Linked DNA regions of Notamacropus eugenii. The protein of the gene in region 1 binds, or shares a complex with, the protein of each later gene. Links are inferred from orthologs where the notes say so. Each region holds a gene or a part of one and is shown in the gene's direction. Other genes may lie near its edges.

Region 1 (7,360 bases):
TTCATCCAGTGATAGTATTACCAGGGCCAGGTCATAGCAGATCTTCTTGCAAATGACATTCATAATGACCAGGAACAACACAAGAAGCATCAGGTTCATCGCACAGAAGATGGAATCTCCAAAGTCATCACCAATCTCCATCATAGGTCTGGCTCACCTATGACAAAGTAGCTGACAGGTCAGAAGTCTCTTGTAGGCAATCTACCACTTGACCTGAGGTGATGGGGGATTCTGTTTGTATCAACAACCATTCATTTAAAAGAAAATGCACAGAAGAAAACAGAAGGAAGTTCAGAAGAAAAAAAACAAATAGGACTGCTTCAAAACTAGAATGTTCAGATCTCCTAGTTGAGCCTAAAGTTAAATCTTATAAACAAGACTGAAGCAGATCAAAAAGCCAAAACTGAAAATCATATAAACATAGAAGAAAAAGCTGGGATAGAGAACAAGACAGAAAATCTAAGAGAAAATAATATAAAAGAAAAATTAACTTATCTTAACCTAATTCTTTCACATCAGAGCACAAAAGAACCATAAAGCACAAAGACAAGACTTTTCTGCAAGACAAAAGAGAATATGAAGATTTTTTTTTAAAGCATGAAGTCTACAAGTCAAGAAAAACAGTGAAAAAACTAATATTCAATGGAAGGAAAGTGTTACTAAGAATGAGGTCAACAGCACCATGGAAGTCATTAAATCTGAATGTGACACTGAGTCTAATAACAGTGATCTGATAAATGTGAATACTGCTGAGTTTAGGGATATAAGAGAAGAGAATGAGAGTAGGACTGAAGACGAGAACTGACAATATTCTCCTGTAGTAAGAGAGCCTCAGTCTCACCCTATTATGACCATCTAGAAGGTGACTTCCAGAAGGGTAGGAAGATCAGACAGATTATGATCTAAAAAGTTTTTAAATAATTCTGAAGATATCAAAAGGATCAATTTTAAAATGAGTTAAAAGAAAGCTGTCCTGGAATAGAAAAAAAAATAAAAGTTTATTTTAATTAAAAATAAATTCAGGACATGCTGTGAACTTCCAGAGCTCAGAATACATGTTAATAGCATAACATTCCAAACAGGACATGACACACCACCAGCAACAGGTTGGGTCTCTAGAGGGTGGTTGTTACTATCCCTGAGTCCTATGGACAACCCTATGGATGACTATTTTCCTAAATACTAGAACATGAGCTCTTGCTGGTGGACTTCCCTTTACTCATTAGTAGATTCAGTTTTTTAGCAAAGAACTCATATGACATAGCAAGGTCAGGAGTTACAAAGCATTTCTCCCGATTATCAGAGGCACAGTCTCATGAACACACAGTCCCTCCAGGAAGAAGAGTACACCAGACTTATGAAAAACATGTGTAGGGTACACATGTGGCCAAGACAATTCACAATTCCAATACTACAAAGATTCGATATCCTTCCTCTTTCCAGAAGATGCCAAGAAGTTCATTCACCTCAGAACATCCCCTCATTTCTTTCAAAGTAGGATGCACTACTTTGGGACTTCTCAGACTTTTCCACCATGTCCCAGATATTCCATTATTGAAATTTACCTTCCTTTGGAGAAGAGAGAGAAGGAGGAGAGGGAGAGGGAAGAAGGAGAGGGAGAAGGAGAGAGGGAAAGAGGGAGAGGGAGAGGGAAAGGGAGATAGAGAGGAAGACAGAGAGGGAGAAGGAGAGAAAGAGGAAGAGGGAGGGGGTGAACTGAGTTACCCAACTGGCTGGGTCTCCATTCAAGAAGCTCAGTCTACTCACAGGTTGTGTTACTCAAATCAAAGTCAACTGCAAGTCATGTCATCATTCCTCACCCCTCCAAGTCATGACCCTCTTCGAAAACAAAGAACACAACAACAATAACTTTATTATTGGGAAAACTTCATTATCCCATAAAATTCCATTAGCTTTGGTACTCCACCTCATCACAAGCCTCAGTTCCACTGTTTGCAGAGTAGAGCCAAGAACTGCCCCCTCCCCCCATTCTCTTCAGCTTCCTTTTAAGCGTTGTCTTCCTCAATTAAATTGTGAGTTCTCTGAGGGGAGGCAAGGACTGTCTTTCTCTTTCCATGGTAGGCATCTAATAAATATTTAATAACGAAGATGATGGTGTTAGATACGTCCACCTGAAATAAAGAAGGCTACCAACGTGGCAAAAAAAAAGATTTTTTAATAGAGGCAAAGGAATTGCAATTGGGGGGACACCAGAAGACAACAAAGTCCTGGAGTGCCCAAAAGGGGCAGGGTTTAAATACATTTCAATAGGGTGGGAACATCAAGGGAGCCACAGCCTCCACAAGCAGTTAAGTTGTTTTTTATAGTCCATAGCAAAGCCTAGGGAGTTTGGAATGGTAACAGCTGGTCCTCTTTTCTTTCTTTTTTTTTTTTTTAAACTAGTTTGGATGGTCCTCTTTTAGCTGGTTTAGGTCTCCCTCAGGCAACTGGTAGCTTTGGATCTGGCAAGGTCAGTTCTTAGCTAGCTGCATTCAACAACAGTTGACATTTATATAGCACTTATTAGATGAAGGGCACTATGCAGAACACTCTACAGTTATCTCATTTGATCCTCACAATAATCCTGGGAGATAGGTGCTATTATATGCCCATTTTGCAGTGAGATGAAGGTTAAGTGACTTGCCCAGGATCATGCTTTATTGACTATGAGCTCTCTGCAGTTAAATTTTACAGAACAAATCCTTTTATTAAGGGAATTTATTCTGTGAAGTTTGGATTCAGCCAAAGGGCCTCACTTGTGGGTCTGCCTAGAGGGTCACATGCAGCCTCGAGGTTGAAGGTTCCCTACCCCTGAGCTAGGCAGTCACTCAGTGCCAAAGGGGTAGGCTCCTTAGCCATTGTCCTCATCTAAGTGTGATGTCTCTGCCTTTGGTCCCAGGTCCCTTCACCCAGCCTTCTCCACCACTTCGATGAGTTGTAAGGAGACTGTTAATAGGATGGAAAGTAGGTGAGGAAACTAAGGTTAAGTGACTTGTCCAGGGTTATACAGCTAGCAAGTGTTTGAGGCTGGATTTGAACACAATAATCCTAACTCCAGGCTCAATGCTCTATCCATTGCTCCACATAAAAGAAAAATTATTTCAAATGCAATAAAAACTGTTCTTAAGACTAAAAAGGATACAATTCAGATAAAATGCTGGCTACTTCACCTTCACCTGGCAATGGTCAGGCTAGGTCAGAAAGGTGACCTCACACAGCAGTGTGCCTTCCCTCTGTGGATTATTTCCTATTCATTTTGTGTACAGCTTGCTTGTTCATAATTGTTAGCAGTTTGTCCATTAGCTGGTGAGCTTCTGGAGGGCAGGATCTGTCTTTTACCTTTCTTTGTATCCCCAGCGCTTAGCACAGTGCCTAGCACACAAAGGGCTGTTAATAAATGCTTACTGATTCAGTGATTGGGCTAAATCTCCTAACCCAACTCCCAAGCCTCAAGACGCAAAGAAGCCAAACCGATCATAACCAATGTAAGAACCTCTCCAACTACTATGAAGGGGAAACCAGCTCACCCTCCGTAAAACAGCTGCTGCTCCTATCGTACATTGATGGGTTTAGTAGGCGTCGGGATTTAATCTGCTCCACTATGTTCAGGGACCAAGTGGAGTGGGGGGGAAGAGGGATAGATTAGCCCTCACCTTTTGGATACAGGTCCATCCGAGCTTTTAGTTCTGGGCTAAAAGAACCTCTCTTCCATTCCCCTCCATCCCCCACACAGTTGGTCCTCTCCCCCCAAACACTTCCTCTAAGAAACACGCCAGCCTTGGAGAATTCCCCTCCTGTCCGCACCCTCGGGCCTCTCTCACTTACCCCAGAACGGTAACGGTTATTAACGGTAGCAAATAAACTGATCGCTTAGGACCTTGGGTTGGAAAAGGATAGGTTAAAGTCAAACCTCAGGTCTTGGAAAAGTCCATGTGGGGTACCCTAGGTAGGCTGAGAACTACAACTCCCAGCATTCCACTCTTAGGGAAGTGTCTACCCTCCCCCACCTTTAAGGCCCCTCTTTCCTCGAATCCCGAAGACCTCCGGGGACTGTCCCTCCTCCAAGAAGACTTTACTGTTAGCAGCGATCCTCCCCCTGACCTCGTGATTTCTGGGTAACGTAGTCCGTTCTGATCGGTTTTCAGAAAATGAGCCCTCCCCTTCTACCCGTTCGTTACCTTCCGTAAAGACTACAAAGCCCAGAAAACATCGCCGGTTCCTCCTCGTCCAATAGCGGTGCCTCATGTTGCGGGGCGCGGAGCCCGGCTCTCCCAACTCAAGATGGCGGATGAGAGTGAGACAGCAGTGAAGCAGCCGCCGCCGCCGCCTCCGGCGCCGCAGCTGATGGAAGGGAACGGGAACGGCCATGAGCACTGCAGCGACTGCGAGAACGAGGAGGAGAACAGCTACAACCGGGGGTAACGAGTTCCTCCGAGCCCACTTCCCAATCCGTCTCTTCGCAACCTGGTTCTCGGGGAGGGGGGAAGGGGGGTTATGGGGAACATCCCGGAGCCCAGCCTAACCCCACCTTCGTATTCTCATTTGCTAAGGCTGTGGGATCCTGACTGGTGATTGGCTACCTTCTTTGTCAATTACCGGGGTGGAGACTGTGCAATCAGGGCCTGAGATATTCAATACTCCTATTATATAAAAGTTCTCTGTTACAGTAGTACTTCAGCGTGCTACAGGCCCAACTGAGGGAGGGGTGTTTTTTGTTTTTAATTTTTGTGGCACAGCATTTTGGATCCCCATCACAGGGTCCTCCAAAGACGGAAAGCTGCAGAGAGAGAGAGAGAGAGAGAGATACCCGGTGCAGAGGATAACCTCTTCTCAATAAAGTAGCAATAAATAGTTCTCTTTAGTGTAGTGCTTTTACCTGCGAAGAAGCCCAGCAGGCTTTACAGACCATAATTACGTTATAAAATAACATTTTCTATCCTCATGTTATTGCTCTTTACCGCCAAAGGATCTTCAGTCCTGAAGGGCCTTATAAACCCTAGGTGGTAGTTAGAAGATGATGCCCCTTGTGCCAAAGAGTCCGTAAGATTCATGAGCATCTATAATTAGGTGTACTAGAATATTTTACCGTTATCTGTCCAAGTTAGAGGCAGCCAGACATAGTAGATAGAGGACTGGCCTCCCAGATTGGTATTAACCTGGGCACTAGTCCTACCTCGAAAATCTAGCCTTATGAGAATAAGAAAGTCATTTAGTGCCCTAGGCGACTCGTCAAGATTTATAAGTTATGGATGACTTGCTGATTTGTATCTGCATCAGGAATTTCAATACTGGGAGTTCCCAGATAAAGGAAGATTCTTGAGAGCCAGGACTGTGTGGTTTTTGTCTTTGTATTTACTGTGCCTGGCACACAACCTAGGCTTAATACGTGCTTGATGAATTGAATTGATAAAACCACGAGTCCAGACAGAAACAAAACCATCCAAGTACCCTCTCCCACAAAATTCAAGGAGATATCATAGAGTTGTGCTTTTTATATCCAATGGCTCTGAGTCTAATACTGCATCCTTTGTTCAACATTTTGAGGAGAGTACTGATTATTAAACTTCCTTCTCCAGGCTTAAAACGATAGTTTTATACAGTACTATCCAAAAAAAAAGGAAATTGATTTGGGCATTGGAGTATGAAAGAGTTTTTTTTAAATGGGTCAGATTTTTGCCTTAGAACAGCCAACCCATTACTAATAAGCTATACCCTGCCATTCGTTTTTCATTTTCAGACTATTTCAAAGTTTAAGTTCTTTACCAAAAAGCATGGTGGCATGTGATATCATGATAAGTTGGTGTGAGTTTGGTCATAGTAGCCATGCTGATAATTTCTTGTATTGGACCTGGCCCAGCCGCAAGAATCCTCTAGAAAGTGAGAAAAAGTCATGTTGTCAGAGTTTTGGTTTTATCATGTTGCAGCGAGTTTTTCATAGAAGATACATTGTTATAAAAGCTTGCATTTTGGCAAATGAATGGAAATGTTTAAAAGGAAAAAGCAGAACAGGAAGGAAGTTGCAGTTGTTCCAGGGAAAGGTTAAGGTCAGATATGAGAATTGGTGAAAGTGAAAGTCATTTTTGGAGTGAGAGAACCAATCTTTTTCTTTTATCTTTGGATAGTTTATTTTAACTTTCCTTGTCGAACAGTGGCTATGAGTACATTCTCCTCTTAATCATCTGTCTGTAGGACTAAGGCTAGATTTGTTTTCTGTAATCTTTTTTTCTAAAATCCTTTTGCAAAATCTTTTCTCAAAACTTTTTTGTTGTTATTTATGGTATAACAAAGTGGCAGCTTTTTTAAAAAGGCAAGTTCAGTACTTGGTTTTGTTCTGTTGGCACAAATGAACTTCTAATATCACTCTTGTAGAAATGTGAATAAATGAAAAATGAAAGCTGCATCATAGAGGGGAAGCACTAGTTCTGATCCTTAGACTTTAAAAATGTGCCTGCAGCTCTTACCTGAGATAAGTTCTTTACTTTTGGTGTCGCCAGAGAGACTCAGTCCTGCCCTACTCTTTTCAGTCCCTTTTGCACAGAGTGAGAAAAACATCACATTATACTTCCACTACCTTTTTTTTCTTTCTCCAAAGATTGATGTTACAAATTTTGTGCATTTGCAAAGGGCCAAAATAATTTCATGGTCTTCATATTCAGAGTAGAAACCTTCTACAGAGTACCCAGTGAAAATTAATGGTAGGAAAAGTATTCCTGAAATTTTCTTAGGCTTTTATATTGGTGTGGATCATGGCACTTATGAGTTATAAATCATTCACTGAGTGAATTGTAACAGACTTTGAAATTCAATTAGACAAACTTTATGTCTTTGAAGTTATCGTTATTAATTTTATCGTTTTTAATTTTTAAAAACATTACATGATTAAATGCTTTTATAGACGTTCTCATGTGATTTTCCCAGTAGATTGTGAGATAATGACTTAAGTCTTGATCTCTCAGTAATTTTGCCTTCTTTATAAATCAATAGAACATAAGCATTCTGGGTGAATGCTGTAGAAAAATGAACCTGTGTGCAAATTTTTTTCTTCTGATTTTCTAGTATTTTATTTCTTCTTAGAAGGGTATTTAGGTATGTGAGTAAATAAAATTCATATTTTTATTTTTCTTGATGACTTTTCCTGGACAGATGAGTGTCTTGGACTAGATAATTTCCAAGATTCTTTACAAAAATTCTATTATTTTTAAATGACAAGGCTCTGCAGAAGCCTTTGCTCATCTGTATGCTTTATAGTGGTGGTATTTTTTTGTTGTTGTTGTTTGTTTTTAATGTAAAGCTTCCAAAGAAGTAGTGATACAAAACATTTCATACCATGCTAGAGGAAAAAGTAATAATTGATGTTTCT
Region 2 (7,344 bases), on another chromosome or scaffold:
GGCTTTCAGTTTCCTTATCTGTAAAATGACTATGCTGGACATCCCTCATGCTCTTTCAGTTTGTTAAATTCTTACCTATCCTTTAAAGTCTTCCTCCAGGGCCACCTCTTCCAGGAAGCCATCTCTGACCCCATTCATGTGGTAACAGCTTTGGATGTAGAGCTACTCCATTTTAAGAATCACCTTCCCTCTTCAGCACTCAGTATCTCTCTAAGATGTTTATCATATATATTGTATGTGAGAACTATCTGTGTAGATGCCTTATTCCCCTATTAGACCCTGAACTCAATAGAGGCAGGAACCTGGGGCAGTGAATTGTATGTACAGTCTGGAGTCAGGAAGATTGATCTTCCTGAGTTCAAATCTCAGATACTTAGTAGCTGTGTGACCCTGGGCAAGTCACTTAACCCTATTTGCTTCAGTTCCTTCATCTGTAAAATGAGCTGAGAAGGAAATGGCAAATCACTCCAGGGTCTTCAAAGATAATGTCAAATGAGGTCATGAAGAGTCAGATTCTAATGAAAACAACTGAACAACAATCTCTCCCTGGATCCCTACCCTCTCTCCATTCCCAGTACAAGGTTCTGCATGCAGCAGGTGCTTAATTTAATTTTTATCGTATGAATGATTGCACAAACAGATGCACATTATTCCATTTTAAAGGTCCTTCCAGACAAGAAACTGGAGAGTGGACAAAATTCTGCAATCAGACTGGGAGGAATAGGATACAGAGGTTGGAAAGTACCCTAAGGGAGTTAAGAATGTTTCCAGTCATAGCTGAGAAACCTTGATTTGGAGTTAGGGGGCACAGGGTGAAATCTCATCCCATGACCCTTCTCTATAATGAGAGAAATGAACCAGATAGTCTTTAGGTATTTTTCCAGTGGGATAGCCTGTCACTCTTGGGCTACCTTTTCCTCATTCTATCCCTACCTATTTAATAGATGAATAAACTGAATCCGAGAGAGGGTATCTCCCCCAAGATTACCTTCCAGGTTGCCTGTAGCAGATGGGGTACAGCTTGCTAAGACGTGGTCTGTGAAGGACCCCAGTGATTGACCTCTCTGCTCCAGGTTTGGACTCCCCTGTCCTTCACAGCACAAGGCCCTGAAGCCCTGGGCTAATGAGTTTAGGCCAGGCCAGTGGATAGGTGGCCTCATTTCTCCTGGTGGGAAGTGGTAGGAATGGAAGAAAGAGACAGAATGGACCTCACCCTTGGGATATGACTGTTGCGCAAGCAGAGCAAAGAGCTATGGCCCTCTCGGAACTCTCGGACAATTCTGGGAAACAGGACACACCTCCAGGAGCAACTCTTCAAGTATAGTTATTATATACAAGGGGCTGAAGAGAGGGGTGTAGACAAAATGTGGCCCCTGAACACTCAGATGGGAGGAAGAAGAGATCAGGACAGAAAGATCCCAATGGTGCCTGAGCCCTGAATTGCTGTGCCACAGGAGGGAAGTACCTTCCCTCTCTGGGCTTCTATAAGTTTACTCTTCTATAAGAATGAGGACATTGGCATCCATGGTTCTCTTCTGCCTTTAAATCCCATGAACTTCTGATCCCATAAGTATTAAGAGATCAGGTTAGGAAAACTTGGGGGAATATATTGATTGAATAGCATGATGGAAGCAAAATCACAGAACGTCAGAGCTGGAAGAATTCCAAGCCAGGAGGGGAGAAATCTTAGAACAGTGAATGTTGGCACTAAAAGGAACCACAGGACATAGAGCAGGGGTGGGGAACCTGTGGCCTTGAGGCCACATGTGGCCCTCTGTGTCCTTAAGTGCAGTCCTTTGACTGAATCCAAATTTCACACAACAAAGGGTTTCCAGTTTGGATTCAGTCAAAGGGCTGTAGTTGAGGACACAGAGGGCTGCTGTATGTGGCCTCAAAGTCACAGGTTCCCCACCCCAATGGAGTTTGAGCTAGATGTGTCTAGGAAGATCTTAAAACACAGAAGGTAGACTGTCAGAGCAGTTGGTGGAGGGGTAGACTTAAGAGATTTTCGAATTTGATACTAATTTTTACATATGGGAAAACAAAGGCCTAGAGGTGGCAAATATCCCCACTGGACAGGTGGAGCAGGGAAGCCAGAGCACTCTAGGCCTGCAGGGATGGCACTGGTGACAGATAGAAGATGAGGCTTTGGGAATAGAAGAGTAAGGGATATGAGAGACACCCATCATGGGAGGAGAGAACCCCTTTTCCTGATATGCTGGTATATACCTTCTCTCTTCCCACCCCAGGCCTTAGACCCTTGTGGGGGATAGGGGTCCCAGTTCAGCTGAAGGACGGAGACCACTTCCGTGACTCACCCTTGAGCCTTTGCACAGCCAAACCCACCTGGCCCAGGAGATGGGTACTTCCCAAGGCCTTCATCTGGAGCTGACAAGCTGCAGAGGTTGTGGGGTGGGGCGGCAGAAGAATGAGATGACAGAGGGGAAGGGGGCCTCCCCTCCTTCCCTATGCCTCTGCCAGGACGCCGTGTGCAGGAGGCTGCTTTGGAACACACCCCCACACGAATGGCGTCTCTCACGCCTCCACCAGGGGGTTCCACGTGCCCTGGCACAGGGCTGTACAGAAACCGGGAGAAGCTGCTCACATTCCTTCAGGAGGTGCCGATTCCCTCCCCCAGCCATTCCCTCAGGGGACCTCTTGGCAGGCCCTGCCCCCTAGCCCATGATACCTGGTGCCTGATCTCTGAGAGTCACTGAGGTCCTGACCAGGAGAAATCAGCTTTGTCTTAGGGGGCAGGCTTGAGATTGGACCATGGGAGATGACTTTCTAATGAGGGAGGGGTGAGAAACACACTGGAACCCATAAGTCATTGACTAAGTCAGGAGCATAGTTTTAAAATTGGAAGGGACCTTAGAAGCTCCCTTCCCTTCCTCCCATTTTACAGATGAGGAAACTGAGATCACACAGTGACAGAGTCTAGATTTTAATCCAGTTCTCCTGACTTCTGATCCAGTGAGGAATCCTACTGCTTTAAAGGAATAAGGAAACTTTCCAGAGCAAGGTAGGGGTTGGGACTCTCAGGAGAGGGAATAATGGGAAAATAGGTCTTTTTCTCTGGACTCCCCGACACTTACCAGCTGGGTGATGTTGGACAACTCACTTAATTTCTGTCTGCCTCAGTTTCCTCAACTGTAAAATGGGAATAATAACTATATATACCTCCCAGAATTGTTATGAGGATCAAATGAGATAATATTTGTAAAGCACTTTAGTGCTGCTAGGTGATCCAGTGGATAGAGCCCCAGGCCTGGAGTCAGGAAGGCCTGGGTCCAACCCTCTTTGCCTCAGTTTCCTCATCTGTATAACAAGCTGGAGAAGGAAATGGCAACTCCCCCCCACCCCCAGTATCTTTGCCAAGAAAACTTCAAATGGGATCATGGAGAGTTGGACACAACTAAACAACAAGGAAGGGCACACAGTGCCTGGCACATAGTAGGTGTTCCTTTTCCAAAAGGAGGAGGTTATTAGAGGACCTCTCATCAGATCACAGCTGTAATAGTTTACATTTCTATAGTGCCTTGGGATGTTAAATCTATTTTATCTCAATTCATTAGGGTTTTCATGTACTCTGTGACCTTAGGTAAGTCATTCCCCTGCTCCAAACCTCAGTTTTCTCATCTGTGGAATGGTGATATTATTCACGTTACCAACATCAGAGGATCTTGGCACTTGGCAAATTTAAATCATCCTCACCACAACTCCCTGAAGCAGATAGGACTCAGGAGGCCCAGAGAAGGACAATGACTTGCCCAAGGTCAAACAGGTCAAAACCAACGTTTGAAACGAGGCGTCCCAGTTCCAAATCCTGAGACCTTTCTACTGTAAATTCAGGCCAAAAAAGAGAAAGTGACAGGCCCAGGGTGAGTCTGGGAATAAGTATCCTAGGCTAGACTTGAACCAGATCTTCTATCTTTAGGTTCCACCACCGTTCGAGTTCTATGGGCTCTACCTGGAATCCAGGTAGATGCTGCCCTGCTTGGAGCCAGGGGAAAGGAAGGGAAGTCTTCTCCCCTGCCATTGCCTAAGTCCATCCTCTCTACAACCAGGAGGCGGAGCAGGGTACAGGATGGGGGCCAAGGTCATGGAGCTCCCTCCCTCTCGGTGTGGCCCAGAGACCCTCAGACCTCAGCTGAGCCGCTACTTAATCCGCGTGTCCTCCCCGCCCCTCCACCCCGCAAGCCTCCCGCAGCAGCTCCTGCTTTGCGCCGGCGCGTGGGTGTGTGGGGAGGGGGCGGTTCCCGTCCTTACTTGCCCTAGTAACCTGTCTCCCCCCGCATCCCCCCGGCGCCCCTCTCCCTGCCTTGCAGTCTCTGGAGGGGTGCGCCTTTGGAGACCCCCAGGCGAGGGCTTCCAGGAGGGGTGTCCCGGGGGCGGGGCAGGGGAGGGGGCGTGGCTGCGGGTCGAGTCGCCCCACGAGGCGGGAGTGTGAGTGGGGAGGGGGTTCTCCTGGATCCCCTGGCTGCGCCTACCTCACCAGGTACCCAGCAGCGGGCCCCCAGCCCTTCTGCCTTGCTCCACTCAGCTCAGGGGGATCCGGGCCTAGGGAGGGGTATCTGGGGGCGGGAGCGGGGCGGTGCACTGGGAGGCGCCTCCAGCCTCCTCGGAGGGATGTAAGGTGCCTCGTGGGGCAGAGACCCGGGCTCCGGAGCAGGTGGGGAGGAGGGGAGAAGCACCAGGACCCTTCCCCCACCTTTACGGGGGCCCCCCCATTTCTGAGAGCTTGGGGTCTGAGAACTGGAGGGGAGGGGTGTGAGGAAAGAGCAGGGACACCGATACTACTTTGGGGAGAGGGATCTGGGTCCGGCTTGGTGCTGACCACCCTTTCCCAAATGAGAGGGTCGTGAGCGAGGCGAGGTCCACACCCCCGCAATTAGCGTCCGTTCGGGCCGGGGGCGTTAGGGAGTCCCTGGGGAGAGGGAGGGGCTCCAAGGCTGAGCCTGGGGAGGAGGGAGGTGGTAGGACTGCCTGAGGGGCGTCTCCCTCCCGCCTTCCAGCACCCCCTTCCTCCTGCCTTCCAGCATCCCCCTCCTCCCGGGCCTCCCCCCGCCCCTCCGGCCGCCCTCAGCCGCCTCCCCCGTTGCAGCGCCTCGGCTTCCCTGCGTAGTCAGTGTCTTCTTGCAGAGGGGTGAGTGGGGGCTGCGCTCCAGGGAGGGGCTGGGGGGGCTCTAGAAGGTGGGGGAGGATGCCCAGGGGAGAGGAATGGGGGAACTACTCCTGGGACCCCCGCCCCCTCTTCTCTAGAAGCCGGATTCGCTGCTTGGCCCGGGGATCCCCATTTCTCCACTGCCTCCTCTGCCTGGGGAACTGGAGCAGGAGCCCCACTGCAAATACTGGGGCGGGGGTATCCAGCGAGAGCGGGGTAATATGGGTAGGAGCATCCCAGAGCAAGGACGGGAATCCTGGGGCTGGGAGGGTGTCCCAGAACCGAGGTGGAACAATGTGGGTATTATCGGCAGTTACGGTAGGGATGCAGAATCAGGGGCTTTGGGGTTTTGAGGGCGAACCCGAGAGGTAGGAATGTGGGACGATGGAATGGGGCCAGGGAAGGGAGAGGAACGGATGGACCAGGAGCCTCCGGCAGACCCAGGGAAACTTGGGTTCAGGGTTTGGAGCCCCAGAATGGTCTATGGCAGCTCTTTCAGGCCAGACTGGGAGTTCTGGAGATGGGTTTCCAGTTGTGTGAGGACTGGGTGTGGGCAGAGGAGGGGAGCTCTGGCACTTTTCTGGAGAGGGGAAACCGGGATGCTTTTCTCCTTCTTGAGGGGTGGAGGAAGGATCTTTGGGACTACTACCTCTAGCCCCTGTTTTTTGGTCCCCTTTTGGCTTTGAGGAGGGGGGTGGGGTTGAAGTCATTTTGGAAGGCTGCAGAAAGGAGAAGGTGCTGTCCTGGTATGCCACCCTCCCTCCTGCCAGTGATCTAAGGCCTGAGAAGGCAGACCTTGCCCTTTCCTTGCTGCTTTCTAGAGCCCCTTTATGCTGGAGCCAAGTCCTCTCCATACTGCAGGCCTGGCTTTTTGGATAGCAGAAAAGCTAATGAATGGGGCCTACTTCCCTAACTGACTTCCCCCCTTCCTCCCCCCACCCCGCACAGATGGGGGGCATATCACTGGCCTGAGCCCCAGCCCAAAGCCTCAAGAGTTGGGCAGGTAGGTGGCATATCAGGGTTCTTAGGACAGGGAGGACCTATCCAAGAGGGACGGGAATACATATGCAGGCCATCTGAATATATCAACACATTGCTGGACATGGGTGCAGATGCATGCATATGTAGATAACATGCATGGTCACAGGTTTATGCACACACATGCACTCATGTTTCTGCATGCCTACATTTATGTACAAGAACACAAAACCATGCATTTTGCAGGCATATATCACTCCATGTGCATATGCAAATATATTATTCCATGTGTATGCACAAACATGTCCAGTACAATTACATGCACACACAAATCTGTACATGAACACATAGAGTAACATGGACTCACTGAGACTGCTGCCCTTTCTTTCTCTGCCTCTGTCTCTGTCTCTCACATACAAACACACACTCACACACCCAGCTTGGTCAGCCATTTCCAGGATGCCCTTCTCCCCTTCTGTTCCCTCTCTTCTCTTTTTTCCTATGAAGGAGGGCTCTTCCAGACCTTATGGGGGGCAGGTAGTCAGGGGGCAACAGGAGGAGAATGACAAAGGGCTGCTGCCCTATCTTCTATAACGTTCCTAGTGTACAAAGGGGTACAGGAGGGGTGTAATGGCCAGTGTCTAGGCGTATGATTACATATACACGACTGTGTGTCAACTTTCTGAAGAGTGGTAGAGGGGGCAGAAAAGAAAGCCCTGGCCTGGAACTCAAGAGGCCTGGGTATCAGTCATAGCCCACGGATTTGCTGTGTGACCTCGGACCAGTCACTTCCCCTCCAGTTTCTTCATCTGTAAAAGAACAAGGTAGAGTTCCATGGTTGGCACTGTCCATCACTCTCACCTGAGAATTTTACAGTATCGCGTCATGAGTTATGTGATAGCAGTCTTATGTGTGCTTGGGTACAAGTGAGGCCATGCAAAGAGCAGAGGGAAATAGCAGGATGAGGTAGGGTGAGCAAGAATTAGCTGGGAGGCTGAAATGTCTAGGTCCATCCTGTTCTCACCGAAGAATTTCCCCTCTGAGCCTGTTCTTGGGGGAAGTATAAGCATCTCAGGTCAGGAGGGTGATGGGGTCTGAAAGAAAGCAGGCTCTCAGTCCTCTCCAACCTTCCTCTGGTTGTTTTTCCTTTCCTGGTCCCCCCCATCTTTCCCTTCCTGCTTGTAACTGTTCATCTCTGCTGT

Evidence for each region. The genes of interacting proteins can lie anywhere in the genome.
Region 2: the proteins of NMT1 (region 1) and HPCA are in contact, whole or in part, in a crystal structure (PDB 7OWM), measured with the Homo sapiens proteins. The link is inferred for Notamacropus eugenii from reciprocal best matches to the Homo sapiens genes NMT1 and HPCA. Residues at the interface, in NP_066565.1 of Homo sapiens: Tyr180, Val181, Glu182, Asp183, Asp184, Asp185, Met187, Phe188, Arg189, Phe190, Tyr192, Ile245, Asn246, Phe247, Thr282, Ala283, Gly284, Tyr296, His298, Ser300, Lys310, Phe311, Ser312, His313, Tyr401, Leu403, Ser405, Tyr420, Gly468, Ile469; in NP_002134.2 of Homo sapiens: Gly2, Lys3, Gln4, Asn5, Ser6, Lys7, Leu8, Arg9.

The regions. Positions count from the first base shown.
Region 1 is NC_092873.1:348,771,620-348,778,979, reverse strand, and holds the start of NMT1 (glycylpeptide N-tetradecanoyltransferase 1), read left to right. Parts: upstream 1-4,263; 5' UTR 4,264-4,281; coding exon 4,282-4,418; intron 4,419-7,360.
Region 2 is NC_092876.1:76,983,313-76,990,656, reverse strand, and holds the start of HPCA (neuron-specific calcium-binding protein hippocalcin), read left to right. Parts: upstream 1-4,242; 5' UTR 4,243-4,498; intron 4,499-5,039; 5' UTR 5,040-5,146; intron 5,147-7,344. UniProt on the Homo sapiens protein: Calcium-binding protein that may play a role in the regulation of voltage-dependent calcium channels. May also play a role in cyclic-nucleotide-mediated signaling through the regulation of adenylate and guanylate cyclases.